Linked DNA regions of Alligator mississippiensis. The main gene of each other region encodes a partner of the protein of the gene in region 4 in a complex. Links are inferred from orthologs where the notes say so. Each region holds a gene or a part of one and is shown on either strand. Other genes may lie near its edges. The genes, in order: MYO5A, RAB11FIP3, SH3BP5 and RAB11A.

Evidence for each region.
Region 1: the proteins of RAB11A (region 4) and MYO5A are in contact, whole or in part, in a crystal structure (PDB 5JCZ), measured with the Homo sapiens proteins. The link is inferred for Alligator mississippiensis from reciprocal best matches to the Homo sapiens genes RAB11A and MYO5A. Residues at the interface, in NP_004654.1 of Homo sapiens: Arg33, Glu35, Ile44, Gly45, Val46, Glu47, Phe48, Ala49, Thr50, Gln63, Trp65, Gln70, Tyr73, Ala75, Ile76, Ala79, Arg82; in NP_001369276.1 of Homo sapiens: Ile1660, Gln1661, Trp1738, Met1742, Arg1745, Tyr1746, Ser1749, Gln1750, Glu1753, Arg1756, Gln1777, Gln1780, Val1781, Lys1782, Lys1784, Met1795, Glu1818.
Region 2: the proteins of RAB11A (region 4) and RAB11FIP3 are in contact, whole or in part, in a crystal structure (PDB 2HV8), measured with the Homo sapiens proteins. The link is inferred for Alligator mississippiensis from reciprocal best matches to the Homo sapiens genes RAB11A and RAB11FIP3. Residues at the interface, in NP_004654.1 of Homo sapiens: Arg33, Ile44, Gly45, Val46, Glu47, Phe48, Ala49, Thr50, Trp65, Arg72, Arg74, Ala75, Ile76, Ala79, Tyr80, Arg82; in NP_055515.1 of Homo sapiens: Asn731, Phe732, Gln735, Ile738, Asp739, Arg740, Ile742, Val743, Met746, Glu747, Pro750, Ser751, Leu753, Glu754, Val755, Lys756.
Region 3: the proteins of RAB11A (region 4) and SH3BP5 are in contact, whole or in part, in a crystal structure (PDB 6IXV), measured with the Homo sapiens proteins. The link is inferred for Alligator mississippiensis from reciprocal best matches to the Homo sapiens genes RAB11A and SH3BP5. Residues at the interface, in NP_004654.1 of Homo sapiens: Tyr8, Asp9, Tyr10, Leu11, Lys13, Glu35, Phe36, Asn37, Leu38, Glu39, Ser40, Ser42, Thr43, Ile44, Phe48, Lys58, Gln63, Trp65, Tyr73, Ile76, Ala79, Arg82, Gly83; in NP_004835.2 of Homo sapiens: Asp42, Ile45, Gln46, Leu49, Glu50, Asn53, Thr56, Ile59, Asn60, Glu63, Thr64, Glu67, Lys240, Tyr243, Leu247, Leu250, Glu251, Ile253, Ser254, Asp255, Ile257, His258, Arg261.

What each region holds. Positions count from the first base shown.
Region 1 is NC_081834.1:23,337,422-23,345,261, forward strand, and holds the start of MYO5A (unconventional myosin-Va), read right to left. Parts: upstream 3,002-7,840; 5' UTR 2,903-3,001; coding exon 2,876-2,902; intron 1-2,875. UniProt on the Homo sapiens protein: Processive actin-based motor that can move in large steps approximating the 36-nm pseudo-repeat of the actin filament. Can hydrolyze ATP in the presence of actin, which is essential for its function as a motor protein. Involved in melanosome transport.
Region 2 is NC_081836.1:26,508,958-26,516,435, reverse strand, and holds the start of RAB11FIP3 (rab11 family-interacting protein 3), read right to left. Parts: upstream 3,066-7,478; 5' UTR 2,563-3,065; coding exon 1,984-2,562; intron 1-1,983. UniProt on the Homo sapiens protein: Downstream effector molecule for Rab11 GTPase which is involved in endocytic trafficking, cytokinesis and intracellular ciliogenesis by participating in membrane delivery. Recruited by Rab11 to endosomes where it links Rab11 to dynein motor complex.
Region 3 is NC_081828.1:140,206,026-140,213,444, forward strand, and holds the start of SH3BP5 (SH3 domain-binding protein 5), read right to left. Parts: upstream 3,245-7,419; 5' UTR 3,026-3,244; coding exon 2,921-3,025; intron 1-2,920. UniProt on the Homo sapiens protein: Functions as a guanine nucleotide exchange factor (GEF) with specificity for RAB11A and RAB25. Inhibits the auto- and transphosphorylation activity of BTK. Plays a negative regulatory role in BTK-related cytoplasmic signaling in B-cells.
Region 4 is NC_081834.1:5,472,591-5,480,305, forward strand, and holds the start of RAB11A (ras-related protein Rab-11A), read right to left. Parts: upstream 3,215-7,715; 5' UTR 3,096-3,214; coding exon 3,056-3,095; intron 1-3,055. UniProt on the Homo sapiens protein: The small GTPases Rab are key regulators of intracellular membrane trafficking, from the formation of transport vesicles to their fusion with membranes.

The DNA.
Region 1 (7,840 bases), about 18 Mb from region 4:
GCACTTGTTTTATTATACAGGACCGTTGCCCACTATCTTAAAGTCATTATGTTCCTTATTTAGTAAGTTTACTCTACTGTTCTTATTCACTAAATAAAACATCTAAAAATTGGAAAACAGAGGTGGGAGGACATATATATGACAAAAACTGAGATGATGAATGGAAGAAAACAAAAATTCTCTCTCCTCCAGCAATCAGGAGACCTTCAAGTCTATTATATGCTCATGTACCATCACCCTCTTCAGGAGCTGATAAAGGCTGCTAAGCTGTCATAAGGGCGCTGTCCCAGAACGACAGGAAATCTAGTCCTTTCTAGCAGCCTAGTAAAAAGTTGGCCTACACAAGGTAGGAAGGGTGTGAATTTAAAGCAGGATAGCTATTCCTGTTTAACTCTGGATACGAACATATAATCAAGTTAGTGGAAGATGCACGTGGGTGGAAATTTACAGTGTTTTCATTGCTCCATGACTAACCACCTCTTTCTAGAGTAACCGTTCATCTATCTGAACAAATCTGTCCTGCAGTAAATGAACGCTAGTCTTCTATAGGTTAGTCCAGTGGTTCTCAACCTTTTTCAACTTGATGTTCCCATTGATAGGTTGGAGACACCCCTCATAAAATACCAGCTTTGAGCTTTCACTTGTTTTTTGACTACAGAAAAATAAGAGAACAATTCTGCTGTTGCACAGAACTCAGACAAAGACTACAACAGGCTAGAATGTTTTTAACACTGTGGATTCCAATTTGAAAACTCTGGGTTTATCTTGTAAATCATGTTTGCACACTTAACAGTGCTAGCATTGTGTGGCACCCTGGTTGAGAATCACCAGAGTAGTTTAAGGATAAAGTGACATGGGCTAGTGTTCAGTTATTATGCACAATACATGCACAAAGGCCACTACCATGGAACAGCTGAAACACTGCAATACCCTGCTGACACTTATCTAGTGTTAACTTAATCAAGTGTCTATACTTTCCCATTTTGAACATTTTTATTGTGGAATAAAAGCATCTGCACAATTTGTTAATCAGGAATAGCTATTCTTAAATATATACAAGGACAAATAGATGTCTAGTGAATTTTTTAAGGCCAGCTGTGCCCACACTTCCTTTGACCAGAATGCTTATTTTCATTTGTTTATGCAGATACATTTAATATAAGCAGCTGTCTAGAACAGTGGTGTTCAGCCTTTTTTCTCCTTGGTGGGCTGGACGGGCAGTGCTCAGTTTGTCCAAGGGCAGGATGTGGCCAATGGCCTTGATCCAGCACCCAGGGTGGATGCAGCGGGGCTCCATCCAGTCATTCAGAGGAGACCAGTGGGGCTGCCCAGCCTGATCCAGGCCCATGGCAGGAAAGGGGCATGGCTTGGCACTGATCAAGCCACATGGAGAGATGAGGGCACGGCCCAGCTCCATTCACTTGGCAGAGGGAAGAGGGCAATGCCCGCCCCAGATCTGGCTGTGCTGGTGGAAGAGGCATGGGAATTTGGCAGTGAGTGATAGTTTGGGACTGGCCAGTAATGCTTACAAATGGGTCCTGATACTGAAAGAGGTTGAGAACCACTGGTCTAGAGCACCTCGGTCTATCATCAACTAACCATCACCTCCACAATTTTTTTTCAGTCTCTCATTTATGTGATTGGTCCAGTCTCTGGCCAAGAGCCAGCTTTTCCCATAACACACACTGTTTAGAGTTGGCCTATGAAACACGTCAACATTGTATCAAGAATTTGGTTTGTATTGACTCATCATCCTCAAAAGGGATTACCCATTGTATATCCATGGGCAGTTACTGCAAACACGGTGAAAGAATCATCCAGTGCAGAAATACTCTCTTTTCATATTCCCTACTTACACGAGTAACTAGCTGGACCGTAACTGATGTTATAAAGCAATGGAAAATTCGAGACTGGACACCATTTAATAAAATATGCCCAAACTCAACCTGAAATTACAAACTTGATACAATAAGATTGATAAAATTCAATGGCATGGGGTCATACCTAATGACTACAATGGCCCTTTCTGCCAGAAAAAAAAGAAAAGAAAAATCAGTGATCAATAGTTTTGCTGCAGGTACACACACACACACACACGAGACACTTTACTGCTAATGCATAAAATGTGCATTGCAATGGACCTTAATCCTGTCGGTCAGTAACACACGTATGCAGCGCTTCTGCACTGATCTCCGCAGTTCACACGGAGAGGTAGTAAAATTCACCCTAAACTATATTAAGAGATTGACTGAAAAGTGGCCCTACAAAGAGTCCCCTTCCTGCATCAGTGCTGGCAGCAGGGATCTCAGCCAGGCAGAAGGCAAGGAGGATCGTAGCCTACCATTACCCACAGAGATTCCCCGCAAGGCTGCAACGGCTCAGCCCCGTCTCCCATGCCTGTTTCGGCAGAACAGTTCTGAAGAAGCGAGACTGGTTTTAGACAACAGCAGGAAGGTGGATTTTGGAAACGAGAGAAACCCCAAGGGTCGGCAGGCGAGGGGTTGTGGATGAGACCTGCGGCCAGCGGCTGCTGCTGGCGGGCGGTGCTGGAGGCCGGGTCTGCCCGCGCGCCGGACCTGCAGGGGACCCGGCCGGGAAGGATCCCCCCCCGCGCAGCCCGCCGGGCCCGAGAGGATGCAAACGCGCGGCGGAGCCGGCACCCCCGAGCCCGCGATGCCGCGGCGGGAAGGGCCGGGAGCGGCGGCTGCGGCAGGGCGGGGCAGATACCCCCCACCCCACCCCCCGCTTCCCGGCCCGGGTGTGGGGGAGGCGACCGGGAGGGGAGCGGCGGCGCTGCCGCCATCGGCCGCGGATGCCTGAAGGACACACACACACACGGCATCTCCTCCCCTCCCCGCCCGGCGCGGCCCCTCACCTTGGTGTAGAGCTCGGACGCGGCCATGATGCCGCCCGGGCGGGCGGGCGGGCGGGCGCGGGGGATGCTGATGCCGATGCCGATGCCGACGCTAAGGCGGGGCGGGGCGGGGCGGGGGAGCCGGCGCTACCTGTGCGGCGCGGCGCGGCCGGCCCCGGCCCGGTGCATTGTGGGAAGGCGGCGCTGGGCGGGGGTGCGGGCGGCGCGACGCTGAGCGCGGCCTCGGCCTCGGCCTGGGGCCCTGTCTCCTGGGGCGCCGCCCTGGCACTGCACGGCCCGCCTGGCCTGCTGTCCCGCGCCGGACGGGCTCGTCCCTCAGCTCGGGGCGGCGCACACCGCCGCCCACGGCCTCCCGACCGTGAAATCGGTTGGCGGGTGGAGCCGCGCCGGTCCAAGCACGCGGGCGGACGAGGTGCTTTGGGGAAAGGTGATGTCTTTTGTTAGACCGGCTGAATAGTTGGAAAAATAGTTGGTCGCAGGCTTTCGGGCATCCTTCTCCGGGCATGTCCAGGCTCCCGGGGAAGATCAGGGGGAGGGAAAACAAAACAGAAAGGGGGAGGATGTTGCAGCGTCGTCTTCTTACCAGTCCGCTCCTCTGTAGCCCTGCCTGTACCTCCCGTCCCCGCATCTTCCCTGCCACACATTTGTATTTTCACAGACCTGCATTTTTCATATTGGCTTAATCTTCTAGTCCACCCAGGAGAGCAGACACCCGCCGACTCTCCTTAGGCCTGAAGAAAAGTGTTTCTGCCCCAAAGAACATTTTTTTCCAACCATTTAGTTGGTCTAATAAAAGCGACCACGTTTACCCAAAGAACCTTGTCTGCCTTGAGCGTGTATCAACGTTTCATAGAAGTAGGATACTGGCTGCTGTGGTCCATTTTACCAGTGGCAGGTTCGCGTTTGGTCTGCGTGGCATCAGGGCGGACAGTAGCCTGATATCAAGCTTAGATGATAAATTGTATGGGATGGATTGGATGGGGCTGATCCTGCCTCAGGAAGGGGCACGATTTCTGCAAGTCCCTTCCACCCCTATTTCTCTATTATGCACCTTTTAAACACCAATTCTCGCCTGTGTCACGATCATTCTCGAGGTGAAACCCACAGGCCATATCTGTGTGGTGTCAGGTGCAAATCCTGCAATCATCCACTCCCCTGTCCAAATGGCCACTGCCAAAGCCACTTGCATTGATATATAGGCACCTCCCAGGCAAGGGAGCAGACCAACCCTGGCGGATGCTTACAGAAAATGGTTCCAGGCAAGTGCAGGCAGGGACATTGAGGCCTCCTGGTAGAGGGAAGTCTGTGCCAACCCTTTTTGCTTCAGCATTGCACATGCTTCAGCCTAAGACCACTGAAGGGTTAAAAAATTCAGACAGACCTTTTGGCAGTTAAATTTTTGTTACAAATTCATTTCCCCATGATTTGAGACCGCTATAAAAGCATAGCCTTAGGGCACATCTGTGCAGCAGTTTCACTGCTCCCATCTTTATTTTTGTTTTAAATTCACTGGGAGAAGGAACTAGAATTTCACTGGAGATAGCCCATGATTTTTTTCTAGCTGTTCCCCAACTCCTTGAGGGATACAAATGGTACATAGTATCCTTTCTTCCTTCTGGGATCAATTCTGCAGATTCTCTTCATTGTGGTAATCCTGTAATTGCCAACCGCAAGAGTGGTCTGGAGGTCAGCTACAGGAGGCCAATGAAAGTAACCAAAAAGCCAAAGTAGAAAACTAGCAAAAGCCTATTAATCAGGGATGAGGGCAATAGAGAAGTGTGGGGGGAATCTGACAACTTGTGAGGGGACGTGCTTCCTCCACAAATGCTCTTAACATTCTTTGCCATGGCCGAAACATTATAATAATTTTACAGCAGTTTGCTAGGCACAGATAAGAATTCACACTCAGCATCCAGAAAGGCTTACACTCCAGTTTCAGACTGGATGCAGAAATAGGGGCAGAGAATAAATTACAAACAGTTTTGGCAGTGATGTTAAGGAGAGAGAGGTCAGCAAAGTCTGTGAAGGTGAGTGCATGCTGTGAAGCTACTCTATATAAAGGCAAATACGTAGTTGGTTAGCTTCTTGCATTGCAAAGCAAGCGAGCCTTCATGGAGGATTTGAATGTGGATGGGCTAGTGGTCCTATAGGCCAGTTCAGAACAGGCCAGAGCAGCATACAAAAAAAGATGATTATAGGAAAAGACAACTGGGACATGAAGGAAGGTATTATGGACCAAATAGAGCAGTAGGTGAAGGCATAAGGTCAGGCTAGGAAGGACAGCCAAGAGGATCAAAAACACAAGGATTGGGAGAGTGATATAGTAAGAACAAGCAAAAAAATATCAGTAACAGATTTTTTTAATAGACTGGAGAGGGAGGAAGCTGAGCTTTTGAAAAGGGAGTTGTCCTTTGCTCCAATGCTCTATGGTCAATAAACATCACAAATAAATATTAATTTTTCCAGGATCAGTTTAAGCTGTAATTGGTGTCTTCTTTCTCTCAATGTTTACAATGGTCTTTTCCTCATCAATATATCCAGTATCTTAAGCTTCCGTGAATGTCCTACTTCTTTAGAGCCTGTACCTTTTCCCTCCTGGCCATGTGACATGCCCTCAGGTTTTTTTTCCTTATCTGTCATCACTGACATCATCATTTGTCTCAAGTGTGACTCTCATCCTTCACTTGATATTTATTTATTATAAGAACTTAAAAATTTTTGTATGCGCCTGCTCTCACCCAACATCCACCGTGCTGCTTTGGGATAATGCAAATGCTAAATCCACACTGCTGCTTTCACTAGCGTGCTTGGACTGTGGATTATTGTATCAGCCATTCACAGCTGGAGCCCTGGATTCAAATGGAATTATAATCACGAGTCAAAAATAGATATGTCTATCCAAAATACTCCTGTCTCAACATTATTCAGCACAAAACTGAAATCTCAGGTCTGTCGTTAAAGGTCAGATTTTAAAGACAGTGACAAAATAGATACAGCCTTCCTGTACTACACCTATAAGTAACCAGTCATGCTCCTTAACCATCGGTCTAACTAAATAGATTTAAAAAAAAACAACCCCCAAAGAAATCTGTCTATCTTAAAAAAAAAAATTCAGAGCTGATGAAAGGATTTCAGAATACAAGTATCACAGTTAACATTTACAAATGTAACTAACCTAGCTGTGATAACATCCATATACAATATTGTATACTGATTTTAAATGACATCAGCAAAGAAAATTATCCTTTCAGAACTTTAAAATGGGGAAGGATTCAGCAGAATTTGTTCAAGAAAGTCTTTGGAATTTCTACCCATGTTATAGTTTAGTTTAAGGGACCAGATCCTTAGACATGGGTAGACATTTTATGCCATACTACAACTGATGATTTCTTTAGCTGATCAAATGGTTACTCCAAAAAAGGAATAATATAGTAACACAGAATCAATGCCTGCTGCTGGCATAATGGGCACAGGTAGGAAAAGATGGCAGGTTTTTTTAGGTAACATTAAGTCTCTTCCAAATTCAGCTAGAAACAGCTTTTTCTTGTTTTAGAGATAGATGCACTACTGGCATCTTTACCATAGATTTAATTTTATATCAGGAGTAATTGGGAGTGCTTAACTAACTTTAAGGTTAGTTAACATAATGAGTTCTAGACATACCTGCAATGCAAAGGTTGCTTTGAAAAAAACCCATAATTTTCATTCATGCCATATAAGAATTTAAAAATACACTGTTAAAGCCTTTCTTCATAGTTTACTAAAGAACTTGCATAAGATGCAAGTCCTTCATAGAGCAAAAGGCATTACAACTCTCCATAGCATATTATTTTGTGATAGAGTCAAATACTAGAAATAACTCCTGAAGAATTTGCTAATTAATTAGGTTGGGATAGAATCAAAAGCAAGTAACATGCATATAAACTTGGTAAAGGTTGTTAATCCTCTTCCAATCAAAGTTTAGAACAAATCTTTCAGGGGACATTGTGACTAACTAAACATCTACAAGATACAAGTGACAAATGGTGATAAGTAACAAAGAGGTGTTCATTACTTGATACCTTGTTGCATAGTAATTTTGGGCAGCTCTTGGAGCTCTTAACCCTCCCGGACTGTCTGCACATTAACATTTTGAAGTGGTTTTAAGCACTTATTATGCAGCTCAAAATTACGCTACTCCAGGGCAGGATTCTTTCCGATTCACACAACTCAGCTCCTGTTCCATTAAGGTGTGGCCAGTCCCAACAGATGTGCTGCCCAAGTTGCAGTCCTTCAGCAAGGATGGAAGTGTTCCTGGCTCACCATCCCTCTAGTAGCTACAGCTCCTAGTCCTGCACCTGCTCACCAGGCCTCCTAGTGGCAAGTCACAGCTGTGCAGGTGGGGCACAGTCAGAGAAGATTTCATGACTGCGTGTGACAGCTCTAAATTCCAAGCTAGCACTAACACCAATCAATGTTTGTGCAACTCAGTACAAGGTGTAACATGGCAGTTTCACACAAGAGAAGTCACAAGTCTTTCAGCATGTACATGGAAAGCAACATACAAATCCATAATCAAAACAAACCCTCAGCTGGACAATTGCTTGTTGCATCTCCCCTAGATATGGCAATGTAGTTGCAATGTGAATCTGTCCTTTCAAAGTGTTACAGAAGCTTCTGTTATATGAAGCTGATTCTCCCAGCAAAAGTATGCTTAACTGGTACACCACTTTTATTCAGGTTCTGATACCAAAGATCCCATCTCCAAACCCCAGATTTTTGGTGATTTACAGACCATACCTTTAGGTTTTAGTTTGCCAATACTAGTATTATTCAGTTCTTCAGTACTGTCCATACAGTTGCATAGGAGTATTTAGTACAGATAATTCAATCCAATAGACTGATGCCCTACTGAAAAGAAGTACAAGTACACTGCAGAATGGTTTAGGATAGGAATCTTTTTTTTTTTTTTTTTTTTAAATTCTC
Region 2 (7,478 bases), on a different chromosome or scaffold from region 4:
AAAGATGGCAAATGCCATTCATGCACATCCTTTCCTAGAGCATCTCTCAGATTTAAGGAGTCTTCCCTGTGATTTGAAAATTTAAAGGATATGTTGTTGGCTTGTTAGAAAATATCCATAAGAGAGTGAATGAGATTAATTTCTTACACTTTGAAATAAACCAAAAGCTTCCTCTGCTTGAAATGCACACACAAATTCAAGATAGTATTTGCTGTTTCATGACACTATGTATTGTGTGCATGCCAGGTGCGTACAAGGAACTGGCTGACTTGCCTCACTTAAGCTCGCAGCTCTTTTAAGATCTACACAGAGCCAAAACCACATTATTATTTGGAATACAGTTTGGGATTGTGACAGTATCAGTGCAAGCCAAGGTTGAAAGAGCAACTAATTTATTTTTGTCCTCTTCTATATAATGTCAACCATTAGCTCTCTACATTTTGAGTCAGACCAGGTGGCTTCATATTACATCACCACATTTGAGCTGCTACAAGAGCATAAATTGAAATCCAAGCTTGCCATGGTACAATACAACGGAAGGCAAAAAAAAGAAGGCTATTTTAAAAAACGGAAAAAGAAGAAAAACAGAAGAGAAAAATCATGCCTGCCAGAAATGGAGCTACTTGATGCTCAGTAATCGCATATATGGTCACATGTACAAGAAAAATAGTGGCCATAAGCACAAAACATCCATGGTTTATAAGTATTGTAATAGTGACCAACTGCTTAACATCTGCTTGATCTGCATTGTTTTATTTGCTTTGAAGAACACAGAAATCAATAAAAGTGGAGTTCCCTTTTAAATGAATGGACAGGCTTTCCAGCCAGCTAGCTTCCTCGACACACTGCAAGCTTTCAAACTAGCATAGGCCTCTGTGCCTATGCCTCTTTCAAACCCACTGATGTCCTTCATCTGAAGAGGCCTGGATAGGCCAAAAGCTTAAAATTACTCTACGGCACTAAATTTGCTCAGGTTAACACACTGTTTCAAAGACCACTCAACCATATCTGGAGTACAACTGCCAAATTTTCTTGTTTTAATCCTTTTCTTCAGCGATATTTCTTAAGACAATACATACGCACTTGACAATTTTCATTATTTTGATGTTCAAGGGACCTAGAATAAGATGCCAACTTATCCAAGCCCCACCTTAAGAGGAGGGTCTTTACCCAAATACTTAGCCTAGGTGAATGGTCTAATAGAAAGGTTAACCTAAGCAAACAATAGCATCTAAAATATAAAAGGCTGATTTCATGGAGGAAGATATTGCCAAATTGACTTCCAGAGAGTAGGGAGCTCTCCACCTGGTCACAGATGCACACATCCTTCTTCACCTGTAGAACTGCTAAGGGAGCTCTCTTTTCACCAGTCAGGCCCCTGTCCGTGTTATCAGCGCTCAGTAACTCTTTATTCCATTAGGCTGGAACGTGACACATGCCAAGCCAACAGGAACAGGTGCAAAGCATGAAGGGCCAATGAACCCAAGAAAACCGTGAATGGGGTTAGGATTCTAAAAGTCTGTCTTTGCTTCCCTACCCAAGTGGCAGAAATAAAACTAATGTTTAAAATGCATCAATTTAAAACAAGGTTTAAGAACCAGGATATCAAACTGTCTTCCTTGCATCTAAAAATTACATGAAATTAGAGCAGCACCTAGTTTTACACACCATGCCACAGACCAGGACAACAGAAGGAGCGTAACAGTGCCAGGGCCACTGTCCCTTTTGTCACTCTATGGTGCCCATCCTAAAGCAAAAGCAGCAATGCTGATCAAAGTCAATGGGAGTGCTGCCCACCTGGGGCCCCCACTCCCACCTAAATAGCTGCTCAGGATAACATTGTTTCGTTATGAACAGCAGGTTACCTCATATGAGAGCAAGGTATTTGAACACCAGAACTAAGCACCCCAAAGCCCTTCAGGCAACCTCCACAGGTCCCCCACGCCAGCCCGGCTCGAATCCAGGGGCCTGGCCATAGGTTACCTGCTCTGCTCCATAGACGGTGGCAAACTGAACAAACTCCTCTATCCGGACAAAACCGTCCCCATCGCGGTCCAGGGCATCGAAGACGGCTCGCAGGCGAGGCCCCTCCTCGGGGCAGGCCGGGGGCTCGCCGGGGGCCTGCTCGGGCTGGCAAGCAGCGCGGGGGGGCAGCGGGTCCATGTCGCCGCCCGGCCGGGGGCCGCAGCCGGGGTCCTGCGCGCTCGGGGGCGGCCGGCAGCCCGGGGCCGGGCTCCACAGGGGCGCAGGCGAGAGGCGTCCGCCCGGGGGCTCCGGGCTCCCGAGGCCTCCTCCCTCCTCGAGCCCCTCCGAGCTCTGGGGCGCCGGTGCCGGGCGCGGGAGGAGCTGCTGCTGCCGCGAGACCGAATCCGAGCCGCCGCCGCCGCCGGGCCGGGCGCGCTCATCACCGCCGCGGGCCGCAGCCGCCGGCGCTCCCGGGCCGCCCATTGGCTCCGCGCGGGGGCCGCGCCCGGCGGGCCGGGCCGGGGCCGGGGCCGGCGGCACCTGCTCCCCCGGCGTCAGGAGCGGGTCCGGGAGCAGCAGGAGCGGGTCCGGCTCCATGGGCCCGGGCCCCGGCCCCCCCACTCCGTCGGGCTTGGGCTCGGGAGCCCTCAGCGGCTACTGCGGCCCGGGCCGCGCGGGGCCGAGCGGGCGCGGGGCGCGGGCGCTGCCGGCCCTTGCGCAGCCGAGGAGCCGCCTGGGGACCGGGGCCGGGGCGCGGCGGCGCTGCCATGTCCCGCACCCATCCCCGCCGCCGCCGCCCTCACATCCCGCGGGGCCGGGCCGGGCCGGGCCGGGCCGGGCAATGCCGCTGCCGAGGACTGGTGCTGCTGCAGCGGGGCTCGGCGAAGGGGGCCGCCCGCCCTGCTCTGCTTCGCTCGGCTCCGGCTCCGCTGCGCTGCGGCTCCTCCCGCCGCCGGGGAGGGCTTTGTCCGCGCGGCGCAGGCTCCTCCCGTCGCTGTCGCCGGGCGCAGCCCGGACCGGGGGCGCACGGGGCGGGCCCGGGCACACGCACACGCCGTGCCCGGGGGACGGGGACGGGGTCGGGGTCGGGGTCGGGGACCGCCCGGCCCGGCCCGCGCTGATGCGGATGCGGCGGCGCTCGGCCCCGAGCCGCCCGCGGTGACGTCACCGCCCGCGGCCCCGCCAGACCTCTCCTCCCCCGCCGGGCCGGGGACTCCTCCTCGCCGCGCTGTGCACGGGCCGGAGCCGGGCAGAGTCGGCTCCCTTCAGAGCAAGGCGATAGTAATCACTGGGCGCGACTACACGTGCATTAATGCGCCTTAGTTAACCCACATCAAATCTGGTACCTCCGGGGACCTAGGGCATTTGTACATATGCTTGCGCTGCAGCACCAGGGGCTTTTAAAAGCACAGTTGTACAAACAGCAAAATGCGCATCAGCACATAAAATGGCAGCTTTTGAACTAAAGTGCATCACTGCCATTTTCTGTACACTGACACTTACACAACTGCATGCGACAGTGCAGTCTGTGTCAGCTCAATTAATTAAGTCTGCTCCAACCCGCCAGATCTCTGATGCATGGGAGGATAAAAGTTATGGGTATAAATGCCCCTGAACCACAGCCACACCCTGGAATTACACCAGGTTGGCACAGACTCAATCAAGCGTGGTCATTACTCACTTCAGCAGCCTCCTGCATCTGGTGTATCAGCATCCCTGCTTAAAAATGGCGGTGGGGTGGTAGAACTAAAGCTCACTGAACGAGCTTTAGTTCAAAGTGCCCTGCCACCATATTCCAGCATGGGGTACACTGATACACGTGATGCTCAGGGGCTTTTAATTGGCACTGCTCATGAATTAAAGTACACACACCCCCACGCCTCCCAGAACACGTGTAAAAATGCCCCACGGGTTTTTTTTAGTGACACTTTAAAGCACATTAAAATAGGCTAATGTGCATTAAAGCACACATGTAGATGCATCCACTGAGATGCAATTCCTTGAGAGATGGGGAGCGGGCATAGATAGCCACCTCCTGGAGGCTAGATAGGACCTCCCTGCAGCAATGCTGCTACCTGGATCCTGAGAGGATTTAGGGGGCGCAGAACTCTCTACACTTTAAATGCTGGAGGCTGCAAGCGAGAGAGGAACAGTAGAAAAAAACTCAATTCACTCCCTCCCCCTTTCAGCATCTACTCCCTACCACACTGACGCAGGACATGGGGCAGGATGGACCTGTGGTCTGGCCCAGTCAATGGCAGCTCTTAATAAATACTTCTAACAAAGTTAAAATATTAACTTGATATTTGTTAAATTTTAAAGTGAAGCTTCATTTTGCTCATGAGAGGCAAGAATTTCTTAGGGTGATCTCTTTTCCTGGACTAACTGCATAGTTGACATAGAGTTAGACAAGATTTCTAACACAAGACCTCCTTCTTCAGGTCAGGAACATATTCTGCACTGAGAAAAAGTTGTCTTAAGCAATTGTCCCAATAAAAGACCATCCAAGGAAATCCTTGCCTCTCACATAATTCCTGGACAATCACAGCTACAAGGTAATAATAAAACTGATTCTTATTTAGGAATTCAAGCATCAGAGCAATATTGACAAATCAACTTTCCTTAATAGCAAAATAAGGGCTCAGATGTCACTCCTTCAACTGACAGACCTATAGTAGGGTTCTCACATTTGGGCTCCCTAGGGACATGCAACATTTTCCATACTGCTATATGGGAGACCATGGGCAAATCTAGGATTTTGAAAAGGGGTGTACATAGTGAGGTGCATCATCACATATAACATGACACATACTTTTCTCCAGGTAAAAAGAAACAGGAAGCTTTGCTAATACACTGGGACCTAGGGCTGTATTTTTCAGGTTAAGATTGATGCAAAAACACACAACTTTATTGGAATGAGTTAAAAAAAGTCTGCAAAATGGTAAAATAGGAGCCACATTACCAGGAGCACCTAACAGAGAGCAGAATTGCAGAAGAAAAGCTAGCTTGATTAGTGGAACATCAAGACCATTAAAAAGGAAAGAGGGTTATTAGCATCTGTGGAATGAAGAGTTCAGAAAGAATCAGGTAGATTACAATGAGCCATGAACTCAACTGACTCCCTCACTGCTGCCTGAATAGAAATGCTGCTACCACTGCAGTCAGTTGGTTTCAAACATTGGGTACAGCAGCAATCAAAGTGGGGTACAACTCTGCACCCCCCTGGATCTGCCTCTGGGGGAAATTTACAGTTAGAACCCAACCAAAAGAGATTAGCCCCATATAGATGATGTCAAGAACCATTGGCCTGAAGTCAACACTTATCTCGGTGCTCAAGTATGTTATCACTAATGTAAAGACATAAAATTGACAATATAGTATTATTTTGTTGGTGAAATATTTATATTATAGCAGACTTAATGCCCAGTTTTTTATTCCTTATTGTCTCAAATAAGAATAAATATTATTGTGATAAGGATTAAAGAACTGAGCAATATGTCCATTGTACATAAATATTTTATCAGCAAAATAATAGAGTGTTTTCAACATTCCTTGAGTTCATCTTGGCCAAATATGAATTATTTGGCAAAATTCATTACATAAAGAATTATTGTAAAGATATTTTGTATTAATGAGTGTTCTGTTAATGCATGGTAATCATTCAGGGGTTTAGGTTGTAGCCATGTTGGTCTAAGGACATAGGCAGACAAGGTTCCTTGGGTGAATTTGATATCTTTTATTAGACCAACCCAAATGGTTGGAGAATAGTTATTGAGCAAGCTTTCGGGTTCAAAAACCCTTCATCAGGCTAAGGAAGCTGCAGCAGTTGGTGTGTGCTCTTCCTGGATGGAATCTGGTAATCATTCATAAATTCATGCAGAATTCATAAAGTGAATAACATTTGCAAATATCATTGCATTTGTGCAGCTCCCAGGCAAGCAAGGATCTCAAACATCAAATTTCATGACAGGCAGCAAGTTACCTATTGTTTTCAGTGTCATCAGGGTGACAATCTATACATGTCCTTGTAAGGTGGATTATTCCTGTTACTTCCATCCTATATAGGGCTGAATGTGCATAACAGGAGAAAGTACACTTTTCATCTGGGAGTCCATTTCCATTTGGCAAAAATATAGTTTACTATGAATTATTGTATTTAATCCATTTATTAATAAGCTTAATCTACAATCCTGCAAATACTGAGCTATATGAGTAACTCTACACGGGGGTACTTCTCACGGAGTTCATTTCAACTGTTGGTATGGGCAAAGTAACACATGCACCTGAGAGCATCACTACCTGGGAAAGTTACATTACTATAAGCTGAAGTGCATATTTAAAGCACTACAGTTATACTGGCATACCTCCCAATATGGACACACTGGGTGCATCTACACCTGCACTTTACTGCAGAGTAGACTAATTAGCTGTGCAGTAAAGCGTCACTGTCTACATGTGTGCCAGTATTAAGGCACAGAAAACTAATCAGCTCCACTGTAAGATAGTACTGTCAGAGATAGTAATGTCTTATATCAGGGTAATTTACTGTGCTGCAAAGCACATGTAGATACTGACCACAGGCATCAATTGCACCTGATTGGTCCAGCCAGCTGGGGGCCTGCTCCAGCCTGGCTGGCTGCTGTTCCATGCACATATGTAGATGCTGTGTCTGGGAACAGTTTACTACAGCTCAAACTGCTCCAGAGTTTATTGTTTTGCATTAATTGCATATGGAGATGTACTCAGGTTATGGCTAGGTTCATGGGGAGCTGGGCTCAAATAGGACAGTGGCAGCACTGGCAGGTAGATTGCTCCCCTCTGCCCAATCCTTTGGTGTTCCCTGATAGCCTGGGAGCAGGTACATGGAAGGGAAACCTGCTTCCCAGTGCCCCTGCTATCCCAGGCTGAGCCCAGCACCCTGTACACCCTGGCTGGCAAAGAGCAGGAGCACCTCTAGAACTCCCTCCACCTGCAGGGCAGCCAGAGACAGCATAAATAACAGCAGTGGTGAGTGGGAGTTGTGGGAAATAAGAGAGGAGGGAAGGTGCCATTAAGTGTAGAGGGGAGAGAAGGGGGTGTCAAGAAGGGAGAAAGTTCTTACCTAATTCATAAAAAATGTCCCCAGCAGCTTCTCCCATGGCATGGTCTCCCCACCCCAGTGTAGAGGGGAAAGAAGTTGAGAGCAGGTTTGCAGCAAACTATGCAGCACCAGCCCCTGCTTCCATACCTTCTTTACCAAATCCTGGATTCTCACCTAGTTTTGGATTGGCTCTTCTCCCATTGAACTTCCTTACTTATTTTATTGGGAGCAAAGTTAATCTGTTGTCTGATTTTTCGATTTTATAGTCGGCTCCAGTAAATCAAGTGAAAATTGACTTCTTCTTGCCTGCAACTTGCCCTGCAGCCACATCATCCAATAGCTATGATCTTGTCAGTTCTAACACGCTCCATTCAGTCAAGCCAGTTCTACATCTGAAGGGGAGGCTTTTGAAGAAAACCCAGGCTACTGCAAG
Region 3 (7,419 bases), on a different chromosome or scaffold from region 4:
CTCCTTGGACCTGCTTGAGATGCATCTGCGGATGCATGACAAGGTACAGTTGGCCGTCCTGACCGCGTCTCCACACGGTCAGCCCATGTTCATTTTGGCATCAATAATGACACCAAGATCCTTTTCTGCCTCTGCACTGACGAGAAGGGAGTTCCCCGGCCTGTAGGTATGCTGCTGGTTCTTCCTCCCCAGGTGCAGAACCTTGCACTTGCCAGTGTTGAAACCCATCCTGTTCTCATCTGCCCACCACAGTAACCTGTCCAGGTCCGATTACAGCCTATTCCTCCCTTCTAGCATGCCCACTTCTCCCCACATCTTAGTGTCGTCTGCAAATTTGAACAGGGTGCTTTTTACACCCCCGTCCAAGTCACTGATGAAGATGTTGAACAGTGCAGGCCCAGGGACCGAGCCCTGCAGGACCCACTGCCCACATCCCTCCAGGTTGAAAATGACCCGTCCACCACCACTCTCTGGGTGCGGCCCTCCAGCCAACTAGTGATCCATTTGACTGTGTAGGTGTCGATGCCACAGTCCCCTAGTTTTTTAATAAGAATGAACTGAAAACAGAGATACGAGACCTAAGAAGAATCTGCCATTCAAACTCAATGTCTAACTAGAAAAAAGATATAAAAGTACAGAAACATTTTTAAGTACTCTAATTTCAAGAAAGTATATGCCTTGTCCTGAATAATTTTTATTTAGTATAAATATTGCATATAATAACCTTTGTCTCATTACATAAAATTTGGTTAGCTCCCAGGGAAGCAGTTTTTAGGACGAGGCCATTTGCTTTCACAGTAGTAGGGAAGGAGATTTTGTGCGCACACACAAAATCTTATGAAAATATTCCTCACAAGCATGTATAGTAATTTGCAAAGGAACTTATCCTGCAATCCTGCAATACCTCAGAGGCTGTTAGGTGGATATTTTGGTTAAAGGACACAACTGTTTGTAACACCAAGTCGATTAGGCCAGACGTTCTTTGGTTACCTTTTATTCCAAAAATTGCTCGTCCAAAAAAAACAAAAACTGAAGTATCAATCCATAAATTAAATATTTGCTATTGGTGGCTTTAGTATGAATGAATAGGAGGCAAGACTTATTACACAACCACAGATCATTCTTCTTGACATTCCTCCCTAAGAGCTATCCCTCTAGGCCATGTTCTGCTATCCTTACTTATCTGAGCAATAACATTTACTCCTTGCATGGCCGGAGCATGACTCTCCAGTCAAGCACTATTCTCTATGAATCCAAGTATCAAAACCAGGTCTTAAATAGTCAATTTTATCAATGAAATGGCATCATAAATCAAACACTTTTTTTTTTCTTTCTTTTTTTTAAACAAGAATTATTCTGGTTACAACCAAAAAACTAAAAAGGTTGGTTCTGACAATTCAGCTGTCAGGTTATGCCAGACTACCAGCACTTTAAAGACAATTTCCTTCTATTAAACAGTTTATTGACACACCAACCTCACACTGCTCTTTCATGATAAAGAGTTGTCTCTCGAATGTTAGAACAACAGGCATTTAACCGGATTACAAAAATTTAACCAGATAACCAAAAAAAGCATGCAATTTCATTAACAGCATTCAATCAGGCTCCCAGGGATCTGATAAATGGAGGCACGTTCCAAATCAAGGAACCTAAGGCTAAAATTGAAGTCAATGGGAGCTAGGGGAGAAAATCAAGCCATTTACACACACATGCTGAGAGGGGCTGTAAGCTTGGACCTATCTTTGGGCAACTGTGCTTGCAAATTCTGCCATAATTCTGAACATCTCTAGGGAAAAAAAAGATTTTTTTTTTATCTCTATCAAGGCCAAATGAGTTGGAAATTTAAATGGGCAAAGTCCAATACTCAAGTTCCAAAATTCAACTGAGCAGAACTCATTTGCCAAGCCTGTGTGGCTCTACCATCCAGCAAGTATCCTCTCTCCCAGTCCGATTGGTCTGGGGCTCCAGAGACCCCCCCAAATCCAGACAGGCATCCTACATACAAGCCCTAGGCCTAGGTGTTGGGGTTCAGACACCGCTTGTCTTGCTTGATTTTAACCAAAAGGTCAAGACAAAAGTAGCAGCCCATGATACCCTGCAGCCAGGCCCCGAACCTGCAAAGACTTCCAGGGGTAGGCAACCACCGGCACGGGTGCCCAAGTGCGGCACGTTTTTGCTTGGCACACATGCCTCTGGGTGGATGGCAGGGAAGGGGCCAGGGCTGTGCTGCCACAACAAGGATCAGGCCCCTCGCAGCTCCCCTGCAATCTGCCCAGGCATGCCAACATCTGACAAGCCAAGTTTGCGGGCATTTTTGACACTGTCCAAAAACATTGCTGACCCCTGACCTAGGCCTTCGCAGGCACAGCAAGCGATCCAACTGGTGTCAGCAGCCGGCACATTTAAGCCAAGGGGTGGCTTGTTGCAGGACGACGACTTGTGCAAACGTCCTGCCAGGCGAGTGGCCGAGGCACGGAGCTGAGGTGACCTGCTCCGCAGGGAGGGGAGGGGAGGGGAAGAAAAAAAAACGAAGAAGAGAGGAGCATTTTAAGGACACCCCAAGAGAGCCAAGCCAAAGGGCTTCTTCGTCCTGAAAGCGCCTTAACAACGTAGGAAATTCTCTTGCTAAACGAAGCAGATTGTGGGGGGAGGGGGGAATATACCCATTTCCACCCCCAGCTCCATGCTGAGCCCCTCTCGGGCACTGCCTGGCCCGGAGCGGCGCGGCGCGGCGCGGCGTCCGGGGGGAGAAAGCGGCAGAGCATCTCCACCCCAGTGAGGAGATGTCCACCCAAGGCGGCGGGACGGGGCCGCAGGCAGGGCCCGGGCGGAGGAGCGCTGCAGCGGGCGGGGGCGCGGCGCGAGGGGCCGGGGCCGGGGCCGGGGCCGCAGTGTGTGGGGCTCAGCCCCGCCGCCCTACCTGGATCCTGGGGTCCACCTCCTCCTCCTCCGCCGCCACCGCCGCCGCCTCCTGCGGGAGATCGCCCTCCTCCCCCGGCCGGCTCCGCCGCGCTGCGGGCTCCATGGGGCCGCCGCCCACGCACCAGCAGCAGCAGCGCGGGGGAAAGGCGCCTCGCCTCGCCTCGCCTCGCCCCGCCGCTGTCACCGCGCTCCGGCCTCCGCCTCCTGCTTGCCGCCCCGATCGGGGGAGGGAAGCGGCGGCGCTCGGCTCCTCCCTCCCTCCGCCAGCGCTCCCCCCTCAGGGGCGGGCAGCGCGGGGTGCGGCGCCCTCGCCCTCGCCCGGCTCCCTGCTCCGGCGCGCGGGGGAGCCCGGCTGGGAGGGATGACCCCCCCGCAGCGGGAGCCCGCCCGTGCCCGGAGGGGAGGGGTCGCACGCCAGGCTCGGCCCGGCAGGCCACGCCCCACTGCCCGCGTCCCCGCGGATCGCACCAGGGGACGGAGCCGCGGGCTGCGAGAGACCTCAGAGGGCCTCTCGGACACCCCCTGCTCACAGCGGGACCCAACTAAATCAGCCCGGTCGAGGCTTTGTCCAGCTGGGTCTTCAAACCTCCGAGGAGGGAGATTGCACCACCTCTCTGGGTAGCCTGCTCCAGTGTTTTACCACTATCCTAGTGAGACAGTTTTCCTGATATCCAACCTAAACTCCCCTTGCTGCAACTGGAGACCCTCGCTCCTTGTTTTGCCATCTACCACCAGGGTGGCCATCGTAGCCCGGTTGTCCTCTATTGATACAAAGCCCAACGCCTTTCTGTCCTCTGTTTTCTCTTCAAGAAAGATACATCCCTGCTGCTGCATCTCACCACCCGCACTCCCATTCTCCGAATCCCAGTCCCACCCACGGGTGGGCTAGTGGGTAGATAGGTGCTGGCCGGCTTCCCTTTCCCCTGCCCTGGCTGAAGACTACTTGCCGCCAGGGGGGCAGGATTGTGTTGGCATGAGGACAACCAGGGCAGTATTCACCTTCTTGGGTTCCTGAGTGGGGGTTCAAGCCAAGGCACCAGCAGATGAAGAGATTTTTCCCCCCTCTATTCAGCGCTGGTGAGGCCTCATGTGGAGTCCTGTGTCTGGTTTTCAAGAGAAAAATAGAGGACATAAAGGCCTCCGGTTTCATCTCAATAGAGGAGAGAGTAGCAGAACACCAGAATGTCCTCTATGATGGCCACCCTATCTGCCACCACTAAGAACAGTCCAGCTCCATCCTCCTTGGAGCCACCCTTCAGGTACTTAAAGGTTACTATCAAATCCTCACTCTGTCTTCTCTTCTCCAGAAAAGCCCAGTTCCCTCAGCTTCTCCTCATAAGTCATGTCCCTCAGCTCCCGAACCATTTTGGTTGCCCTCTGCTGGACTTCCTCCACTTTCTCCACATTCTGCAGTGGGGGGCTCAAAACTGGACACGGGTGTAGCCAGATGTAGCCTCACCAGTGCTGAAGAAGGGGGGGGGGGGCGGGAATCCCTTAATCTGCTGGTATCTTGGCTTGAACCCACCTCCCCCCGAAACCCAAGAAGGTGAATTCTGCACTGGGCGTCCTCATGCCAACACCCCAGCAAGTAGCCTCCAGTCAGGGCAGGGAGAAAGGGAAGCTGGCCAACACCTACCTACCCACTAGCCCACCCATGGGTGGGACTAGGATTCAGAGAAGGGGAGTGCGGATGGTGAGATGCATCAGCAGGGATGAAACAACACAGATTTGTTTTTCCCCCAATTGAAAATAAGCTGAAAATAAGCCTAGGGCTGTGTTACTCAGTTTGAGATGGAAGCAGGAACAGGTCTAGTTACATTGGAATGAGTCAAAAACAATCTGCAGGGCTGGGAAAGAGGAGCTTCATAACCAGGAGCAGCTAACAGACAGCATGAATGGCAGAACAGGTGGAGCATCAAGACCACTGAAAAGGAGAGAGGGTTCTTAACACCTGTGGAACAAAGCATTTAGAAAGGATCAGGTAGATTGTAATCAGACATGAAGTCAATGGATTTTCTCAGCACTCCCCAACTAGAAAGGCTGCTGCCACTGCCAGGCTGTTGGTTTTCAACCTTAGGTGGAACAGAAAGCAAATGCACCAGTACAACCCCCTGAATCCACCCTGAGCCCACCTCAGTCAGCTATGAACTACTTTTAAATGCCAGGAGGGACCTTATCACAAGCACTCTCTGTGCTTTTCCTGTTTTTATTTCAAGTCAGATACTGCTATGAAAAGGGGACCTTTATTGTTCAGACAAACCTCACTCATTGCTCTTCCACTAGATGAAGTTTTAAACCAGTTTGTGATAAATAACCAATTGCCCACACCCTTGTGCTGCCAACAAAGCTTAGTGGCTTCAGGTGCAGGAAAGTGCACTTTATAATCGAATAGCCTCCTTTCTACCTCAGGCACTGTTTATGAACTCACTGTGTTTTAAATGTATTGGCAAAAAAACACTTCTGGCAACCTTGAAAATTCAATCAAAAGCAGGTTTCTATTGTGTGGCAGCTGAATCAAGAGCTATTGTATCTAGTGCATGCATCAAAACAAAGAAAACGCCAAAAACCTGTGCTTGCCCTCATTGTGTCAGTAGAAAGGAAACATTCTTGCAAAGCCCTGGTGGCATGTAAAAATAAAGCTCCTGACTGATATAGCAATAGCAAGACATGTAATAGCTCAGAGATTTAAACATTAGATTAGACACTCCTTAACTGCAGGATTATTAGAATAATAGAATCATAGAAATTTAGGGCTGGAAGGGACCTCAAGAGGTCTAGTCCAACCCCCTGGTCAAAGCAGGACCATCCCCAACTAGATTATCCCAGTCAAACCTTTGTCTAGCCAGGTCTTAAAAATTTTAAGGATGGAGATTCAACCACCTCTCTGGGTAACCTGTTCCCATGTTTTACTACCCTTCTACTGAGGTTTTTCCTAATGTGTAACCTAAACTCCCCTTGCTGCAACTTGAGACCATTGCTCCTTGTTCTGTCATCACTGAGAACAATCCAGCTCCATCCTCTTTTGAACCACCCTTCAGGTAGTTGAAGGCTGCTATTAAATCCCCCCCTCCTGTCTTCTATTCTCTAGACTAAATAAGCCCAGTTCCCTCAGTCTCTCCTCAGAAATCATGTGCCCCAGCTCCCTAACCATTTTTGTTGCCCTCCGCTGGACTCTTTCCAATTGGTCCACATCCTTTCTGTAGTGGGGGGCCCAAAACTGGACACAGTACTCCAGATGTGCTCTCACCAGTGCCAAACAGAGGGGAATAATCACTTCTCTTGATCTGCTAGCAACACACCTTCCTAGCAGATTGGTGCTAATTCTGCATTGGGAAATGCAGCACAGTAAAAACCATGATGGGTATCCTGGAACTCTGGCTCTCTGTCCCCTTTTCCTAAGATATGGCTGAGCCTCCTGTTTGAAGGCAGGAGGAAAGGAGTACTTTTCAGAACTATGAATCCCATTTTCCCCTTCTCATAGTCCAACCTGACAGATGAAAAGCAAAAGAAATTCCTCACACCCTAATAACTTAAAGGCGACATAGTTAGAAAAAATGTGTTTACTGTGATTTTTTTTAATATTGTTATAGTAAATATCATTTAAAAAAAAGAAGAAATTGGCAGAGAGCTTTTTTTCCTTTTATTTTTTCCTTAAAAGTATCCGTTCCTAATTTAGCCACTTGTTAGCTGAAGGACTGTTCAAAGGTGATCATCAAAGGTCCTTTAAAAAATGGGGCTGCAGCCTTCATAAAAGTGCCTTTCTTTGCAAGAGACTCCCAAAGGGCTGTGAAAGCTGTTACTCCTGTCCTCCCAGCAAAGCAAGACAAGGTAAAACATAATAATAATATCCTGAAGGCTTAAAGTGAAAGGGGGGATATTGGGTATTACACTTAACATTCAAACTTTCCTTTTGAAAAATCAGGAAAAAAAGATGGGGGTGGGGCAGGTGGTGACAAAATATTTTATATTCTGTTACAAATATTATATGTCTTTGAAGTGACACTGGCAGCCTAAAATACTGACAAACAAAGGTGCTGCTGTACAATGAAAACAGAAAGGTAACATATAGGTGGATTGTTTGAAGCTTCTTGGATAGTTTTGCACAGTAGAAGATTCCACCAATATTTCTGATACTAGTATAAACAAACAAGATAGCTATGGCCTGAAAGAAGCTCAAAGCACCCCAAATTCCTAGAAAAGTTCATAAGGAAATCTACATGGAAAACCCCCTCAGATCTCAAAGTAGCTGTGTGTAGGGTCAGCACTCTTGCCAGGTTTTTTATTCCCTTTATTTATTTATTTATTTATTTATTTATTTAATAGCCATACAGGTCCCTTATCTCTAGCTGCAGAGCACATACTATGAAAAGAAGCTTGAAAGCTCAGAGCACAATCAATGAGAAGTAAGTCTGACAGGCCCAGAAGTAACTTCCACTATCTTCCCAAGGAGTCTTCCGGCAAACAATACTGCATAACATGGCTCTTCCTCAGCTTCAG
Region 4 (7,715 bases):
AAACCTGAATTAAAAATCAAACATTTGATATTAAAATAAAAGTCATGAGCTAGCTTAAATTACATTCAGGTTCCAGTTAAATTAACTAAACTGGTACTACAAGACTGCACTGTCTACAAGTATCAATCATAAATGGTACACCTCCTTCATCTAGAACATCAAACCCATCTAACTGAAGCCCTGTACCTACACATTTTTATCCCTCTGAAACATGGGAGGAGCCCTCCAAGAGTATGCAAGAAGGAAAGATACTGGAATACAAATGCTGGAAAGATACTGCTACTAATCTATTTCTCCAAGCTTAAATCCAAAGGAGACAGTAATTAAACTACATCAGAGGGAAATACCTTAATTTGTAATGGAAAAAGAGCCTCTGATCTAGGGCTTACTAGCAGGCTAAAAAACCCAGAAGCTTTTAGGAGATGGGTTTTTCCTATAAACAGAGCAAATATGAGACAACAGTGCATTGTGTGAAATCCAGACCAGCGAGTTTGTCCAGTTTCAGAGGAGTTTTTTTGATTTAGTAATAAAGCTGGAAAAATGAGTAAGATGCAAAGAAGGAAGGAAGTACAACTCCTCTGGCCTGGCATATTTAAATCAGTTGATTGTCAGAAATGAGAAGCGAGTTTGTTGGTTCACTTGTCTCAAATTTGGAGTTTCGCAGAAGGTGTAACCAACACTGCAGCCAAACCTTCTAACGATTACATAATATCCAAAACACAAGGGAAAAAAAAAAGACACAAACAAGTTAAAGCCAGTTGAGATTGTCTAGGGTACCTCCTTGATATTTTAGATTACATCAGGTTCTATAATCCAGGTCAGAAAGCGACATTACGAAATTCAGAAGCCACCCTGAATTAGTGTATTAGTTATGCCACCATGTTTTTTTTAACCTCACTTTTCTGGGGAAAAATATTTGTGATGTGACACAGACAGACAAGGGTACATAGACCATGTCTGTTTTTTGGGATTCACGCTCCAAGTCCCTGGGACATCACTGCCTTTCCTACAGCCCACTGTGTAGTACAGCATTGTCATGGGGACAAACCGCATGTCCTAGGCATTCAACAGTCAGGGGATAGCCGTTTTGCTATAAATCCTCCGATTCAGTTGGAACTGTAGCATGTGGGGCTCATACCATAAGAACCACCATTTTCAACCCGATTTGCCTCTAATTTTATGTCCAACAGCTACCTTAAGCCAACTATCATCGGTCTTATGTAAACAGAAGATGTAAAGATGACACGTTTTCATATGTCCACTTTACACATCATTTTGTAGAAGTTGGTGATTTCCCAGTGTAAATGGGAATGCACCAAAAGCAAATCTACCTTAATGACGAGAAAAGACTTATCTATAGGCATGTTGCAACTTGGGCTGTAAGACTGACATGGGACAACTGTTGAAATCAGGCCCCCTGGCTTTGTTTCAAATGTAATTAACATCTACTAATAAAATTCAATCTGGATTAGCACCATCAAAGGCTGGGGGGGGGGTAAGGAAAGCCATTTTCCAAATGAAAATGAACCAAATGAATAATGACAATTTTCATTTGCTGGGTTTCAAGCAGGTAAAAACAAACACGCACAGCAAAGAACTCTGTACTCCCCCTTTGCCATACGGCATCTGCTCCAACTAACATCCCCTTCGCTACACAGGGGATAAAATAATATTCTAGATATAGCTGCTTGCAGTTAATAGTCTCCTGAAAATCTGCTTCTAACTCCACACTGGTCTTAAAATATTTTTCAAGCTACTGATTTTTCAATGCTAGCTGAAGCAGTAAGTAACCTCAAACTTATCTTCAACTGCATGCTTTTACAGCGTTTCTGGCGAACATTTGCAACAGATTGCTGATTTTTTTTTTACGTGATGGAAAGTGGAACTTGAAGTAGAGCATTTATATTACGCTGTGATAAAGTTCAAGCGAACTACCAAAAAAAGAAGTTGCATAGCTCCTGGGCAGCGCTGCCCTGCTCTCCTGGGAGCCGCGCGAAGCGAGACGACAGGAAGTGAGATCGGTGGGTGTGCAAGTGCAGAAAGGCAGTGCCAGGTAAGTAACACAACGTACTCTACTGCACCGAGATACATGTGTCACACCAGTACCGGACCCAAACAGGAGTTTAGCCAGGCTCAGGGACGCACCGTTTAACTGTGCAAGACCCTGTCCACCATCACCACCAATCTTTGCTCATCCTAACGTTTTCACAGCGGCCCCCGCACTTTGGGAACAGACCAGCAGCCTTGCAAAAGAAGCCATAAAATACAAGCTCGTGATAACTCTTTTGCCTTAAAAAGTGAGTCATTCCTTGTTTCTAATCATCCTGCTTGGAAGCAAGAAGCATCTGCTGCAAGGCCTGCGCAGGGGTAACTAGTCTTACCCCGCGGCCCGGCTCCACGCGGGAGGCACCCTCGCGCCTGGACGGACAGGGCTCTTGGGTCTAATAGACGACATCACATCTACCCAACTAAGCAGCTGCAAAAGTTGTTCTTCGCAAGTTTTCGGGCACAAACGCCCTTCTTCAGGCAGAGGGGGACTCTACCCTTGGTCCTACAGGTCTGAGGGTTGTCTGTCCAGGCCCAGCCCCTTCCCTCCCCTCCCCCCTTCTCTGTCCCCACCTAGTCTAATTTCTCTCCTCGCACTCTGCTTTTTACCCACCCTTTTGCAGCAGCTGGTGAAATAAGCTGCAGCTCACAACAGCTTGCGAATATATATGTGTAATAAAAAAAGTGGGCTGGGTGTGTGTGTACACACGTATATAGGTCCAAAAAGGGGGGGGGGTAGACAGGCAGCCCGCCCAGGGAGTGCAGGAGGAGGCCGGGGAGACTTACCCTGGGGGTGCGTGTGTCTACCCCTGTGTGTGCAGGTAGGTAGGTAGGTGGGTGGGTGGGTGGGTAGGTAGGTAGAGGGACCCCACCCCATCCCGCCGCCGCCAGCGCAGGGCCCAGCCCAGGCCCTGGGAGCCGCCTTTGCCGGCGCCGCCCCGCGCCCGGTGCGGGGAGCCGGGCCCGCAGGCCGGGCGGGAGGGGACATGCCCCCCGGCGCGGCCCTTACCTTTGAAGAGATAGTCGTACTCGTCGTCGCGGGTGCCCATGGTGCCGAGGGGGAGCGGAGCCAAGCCGAGCTGAGCCGAGCCGAGCCGCCGCCGCCGGGGACTGAGGAGCCGGACGCGGGGCCCCGCCCTGGCGCTGCGGCACTTCCGCTCTGAGCCCCCCCACACCCGCCTCCTCCTCCACAGGCGCTTCTGGGGTCACCGGGCCGGCGAGGGGGCGTGGCTGCCGGTACTGCTTCCGGGGCGCCTGCCCCCGCCCCCCCAGGCTGCCCGTGCAGGGTGGGGGGCGGGGCAGACGCTACTACGCGTGTGCAGGGAGCCGGCGCGGGAAGCTCTAGAGGCGGGCGGGGCGCGCCTGCGTCAGGCGGTTCCATGGTGTAATGGTTAGCACTCTGGACTCTGAATCCAGCGATCCGAGTTCAAATCTCGGTGGAACCTGATCTTTTTCCCTCGATTCCCCCCCCACCCCCCCCCCCAGCCGGTCCGACGGGGCCGCTGCGCGCCCTCACCTCGGCGGGGCAGCGCGGGGCGGGGGAGGGAAACCCCAGTGCACGGCACTGCACTACACTGCATTGCCCCGCGCGCGGCACTCAACCTTTCACTTCACTCCCAGACACGTGCAGCTTACTGCTGATACCCACGCGCCCCCCCCCCGCTGTGGCAGGCAGACCCCGCCCCCGGGCCCCCACGCACCCCCGTCGGTGGTAGCGACATCCCCTGGACCCCCACACCCCCCCCCCCCCCCCGGCAGTGGCAGCCGGACCCCCCACACCCCCTGTCGGTGGCAGCCACACACCCCCCCGTCGGTGGTAGCGACATCCCCCTGGACCCCCACACCCCCCCATCGGTGGCAGCCAGACCCCCCCCCAGACCCCCCACACCCCCCTGTCAGTGGTAGCAACATCCCCCTGGACCCCCACACCCCCCCATCAGTGGCAGCCAGACCCCCCCCCCCAGACCCCCCACACCCCCCGTCGGTGGCAGCCAGACCCCCCCCAGACCCCACACACCCCCTGTCGGTGGCAGCCAGACCCCCCTCCCAGACCCCCACACCCCACCGGCAGTGGCAGCCGGACCCCCACACCCGCCGTCGGTGGCAGCCAGACCCCCCCGGACCCCCACACCCCCCCGTGGGTGGCAGCGACACCCCCTGGACTCGGCGCCGTGTGAACAAGAGCTGCTGCGTTTTCAGCTGAGCGCGTGCTCCTCCGCGCAGCGCCCGGCTCCGGTCTGGTCCGGTAAGGGGCGTCAACGGTCAGTCCCCACGGACTGTCCCTTCGCCACCAAGCGCCTTGTCGGCCCGCTCGGTGCCACGGATCCTCCTCCTCGCCCTCCTCCGCACCTTCTCCAGGTCTGGGCCTAGAGCTGAGCGCAGCAGCCAGGGCGTGGACGCACCGTGGGTTTAGGAAGGGGCAGCATGATGTGCTTGGCAGAGGGGCCGCGCGTGTGGAGAAAGGGAAGGTCACGGAGCAGGAGGGAGCAGACGACACCAGCATCAGGCTGGGCTAAAGTAAGCCCAGAAGAAGAATGGAGGTAGGGCAGAGGACAGTCTATCGTGGTCCCTTTTCCTTATTATTTAGGATAAGTGTAGCCCGGAGGAGCTGGGCCCGTACAGGCGGGACACCCGCTATTCCAGCTCGGCCCCTCCGGAGACGTGTGAAGCAGAGACGGGATGGGACGGGGCAGCCGGCTGCAGCCCAGCAAGGAGCGCAGCGCTCTGGGGTAACGCTGGGGGCTCCTCTGGGCGCGCGGGGCTGAGGCTGAAGAGCAGTGGCCGTGGCTGGCGGCCCAGCAGCTGTCCAGGCTGGGAGTGGTGGGTATGGAAGTTGCCCAGGGAATCGCTGCCTTGAGTGGCGTCAAATTTTTCTGTAGTCAAAACAGAGTGCAAACGAAGAGCTGGTGTTGTCCCGGGGATGCCTGGAGTCTGCCTCGTGTCTGAAAAGGCTGGGAACCACTGGCCTAAAGTGTTACCCTCTCACGAGTGGGACGGCTGAGGCCTCAGGGAGGTGGTGTGAGCACGCGGGGAGAGCGAGCGGCCCCGTGTCGGGCTGAGCTGCAGGGCAGCCGTGCAAGCGAGCTCTGCGAGGATGGGAGACTCCCTCCTGCAAGACAGAGCAGCAGGGTGCGGTAGGGGAGATTAGACCCTTTTGCTACCGACAGATAAGGCTACACAAAAGGCAAACCATGTAGGGCATGAGCTCTGCCTAAAGCAAACACGCCTGCCTGGATATGGTCCCACGTGTGCTTGTTCTGTAGGGCAGTGTGTCTCAACCCATGGGTCGCCACCCAAACGTGAGTCGCAAGAATATGTGAAAAAGTTAAAAATGGGTTCTCTTTTAAAGGAGAAAAAGGTGGGAAACCGTGGCTTTTCCCTTGCAGGCTGGCAAAGTGCCAGCCTCCAATGGGGTGCTTGTCATAATGTTCATTTTGTCATGCATGTGATTGTAAGGATTGTGGTCTTCAGTATAGAATATATAGATCATGTTTTTATAATATATATTTTATATATATTTTATATTTAAGAGCATAAAAGACGTGCTTTTAAAATAGATGTAGTTGAGCAAACGATGAGTTTATTTATGGTCAGCTCTGGTGCTGGACCTAGGGATTAAGGACTGCACCATTGTGATGAACCCCTGGACTTGCCGTGGGGTGACCAAGAGTTTGTGGGGCTCTCTTTGTAACTTGGTCGTTACGAAGACTCGTCTCTTAACTTGGAACTTCAGAAACTTAATTTCACGCTTTAAAAGACTGTCATTGCTATGGAAAGCTAGATGAGCTCTCCTACTCAAGAGAAGTTTTTCCTGTGTGGGTTTCTTTATTAATGGCGTTCTTATTTACCAGTTGATCTCAAAAGTACCTTGTATGTACATTTTCCACGTGCTGTAATGCATCCCTTCACTGCACCAAAACGTCGGCGTTCCTGTGGGGGGAGGCCTGGTAACACAGTCCACTTGCATGGGACGGGTGGTGCAAGCCAAGGAGAGGGTGCAGCAGTGCGGCACTGGGCGACCCAGGGGTGGGTTATCTGGGCTCCAGTGTGTTAGCAATGAGGTACACTCACAGCCCCGGGGCATGTATGCTCCGAGCTGCAATCACAGAGGCTTCTGCAGGTCAGGGATTGGGAGCATGTGGGGGGGATGACTCAGTACCCTTCCCTATGTTGCTGTACCCAGTTAGTGCCACGAGCTTCAGTCTTGTGCAAGTGCTACAGGGGAAAACCCCCAGCTGCACCCAGGTTCACATTCCTTGCTGAGACAGAAACATGCTTCTCTGCAATGAGCAGCTGAGAGACACCCCACATGTCTGGAGCGCAGACAAGGGTTGGGGTTCAGATAGGTCTCAAGTGTCTGATGCGGGAGAGAAGCAGGGGGCATAGTCATAGCTATGTTTACAGCCATTTCTGGAAACTCAGCCGCTAGCTGCTGAAACAGGCAACTGCAGCAGCACTATTCATGTGTACATGCATGAGCTATGTGTACAGGCATGACCCTATCATGCAAATGAGACGTATTAGGAGCATAAATAACATGGAAGGGGCATTTGATGCTGGACTTGGTGCCCGCATTTTTTACTATATGCCCTAAAAGAGGGCCCAAAGCCCAGGCTTTCAGGTAGGTTCCTAGCTCCATTAAACCAAACGGGAGCTTTGCCATTGACCTAAGCAGGGCCCCGATTTGATCGTCAGGCTCCCGGGGGTGTGCAGAGTGACTCGAGGTGGGAGCTGAAGGAACTGGAATGGACGTCGGCAACTCAGTACTGCTGTTGTTGGCTGCAGGTTTTCTGGCTCTACATTTCCAATCCATGCAAAACGCATCAGAGAGCAGTTCAGAGAATGATCTGGAGCAGCAAGTGACAATAATTCACCATTGTCCTTGCCTGGCTGCTGACCCAAATTCCTGTTTCTCAGATCAGAGACCACAGGCTTCCTCTATTAACAAGCAGGAAAGACAAAAGCAGAGCAAAGGCAACCTACCCTGCTCTTCCAGAGGAGAAATATTTCCTAGGGGGGAAATCCAATCAATACTTTCCAATTTTCTAACAAGCAATGAATCATTGCAATTATGCAGAGATAATTCACTGAGCTTTCCAATCAAGGCTGTAAATTATAAAAGAGAAGGAGTCACTTTCGGCATCACCAGCCCCAGCCCAACATTAGTCACTCTGGAGAGAGTATAAAACCCGACAGTTTAAATAACAGACTTCCCTTTTTAAGCAGACCTTACTGAATTTAAAGGACTGCAATGTACTTGAAGTCCTTCCCTTCATGGTGTTTCCTGGTTGAAGTGGGCATTATAAAAAAAGCACAGAGCAGGGAGAGATTTTTCTACTGAAAGTCTATCTGAATTGCTATAAACTCTCTTCCCGTCCTGCTTCTACTGTTCATATAACAAGAGATGGATCTGATCCAGGACATTAGATCAGCCTACTTCTACCCAAGTTGTGGGGTTTTGACAACATGGGACTCGAATCTGATATTATCCTACGACCATTTTCCCCTTACCAAATATATCTACTGTATTTTCTGACCAACAAGATACATTTTCCCGTGAAATGGAGACCTATAATGAAGGTGTCTTATACCTTAAAGCTATGCAATGAAAATTAATTAAAATTATTGTATTAAAGGTTGATAGATTCAAGCTGATGTAAGTAAAAACA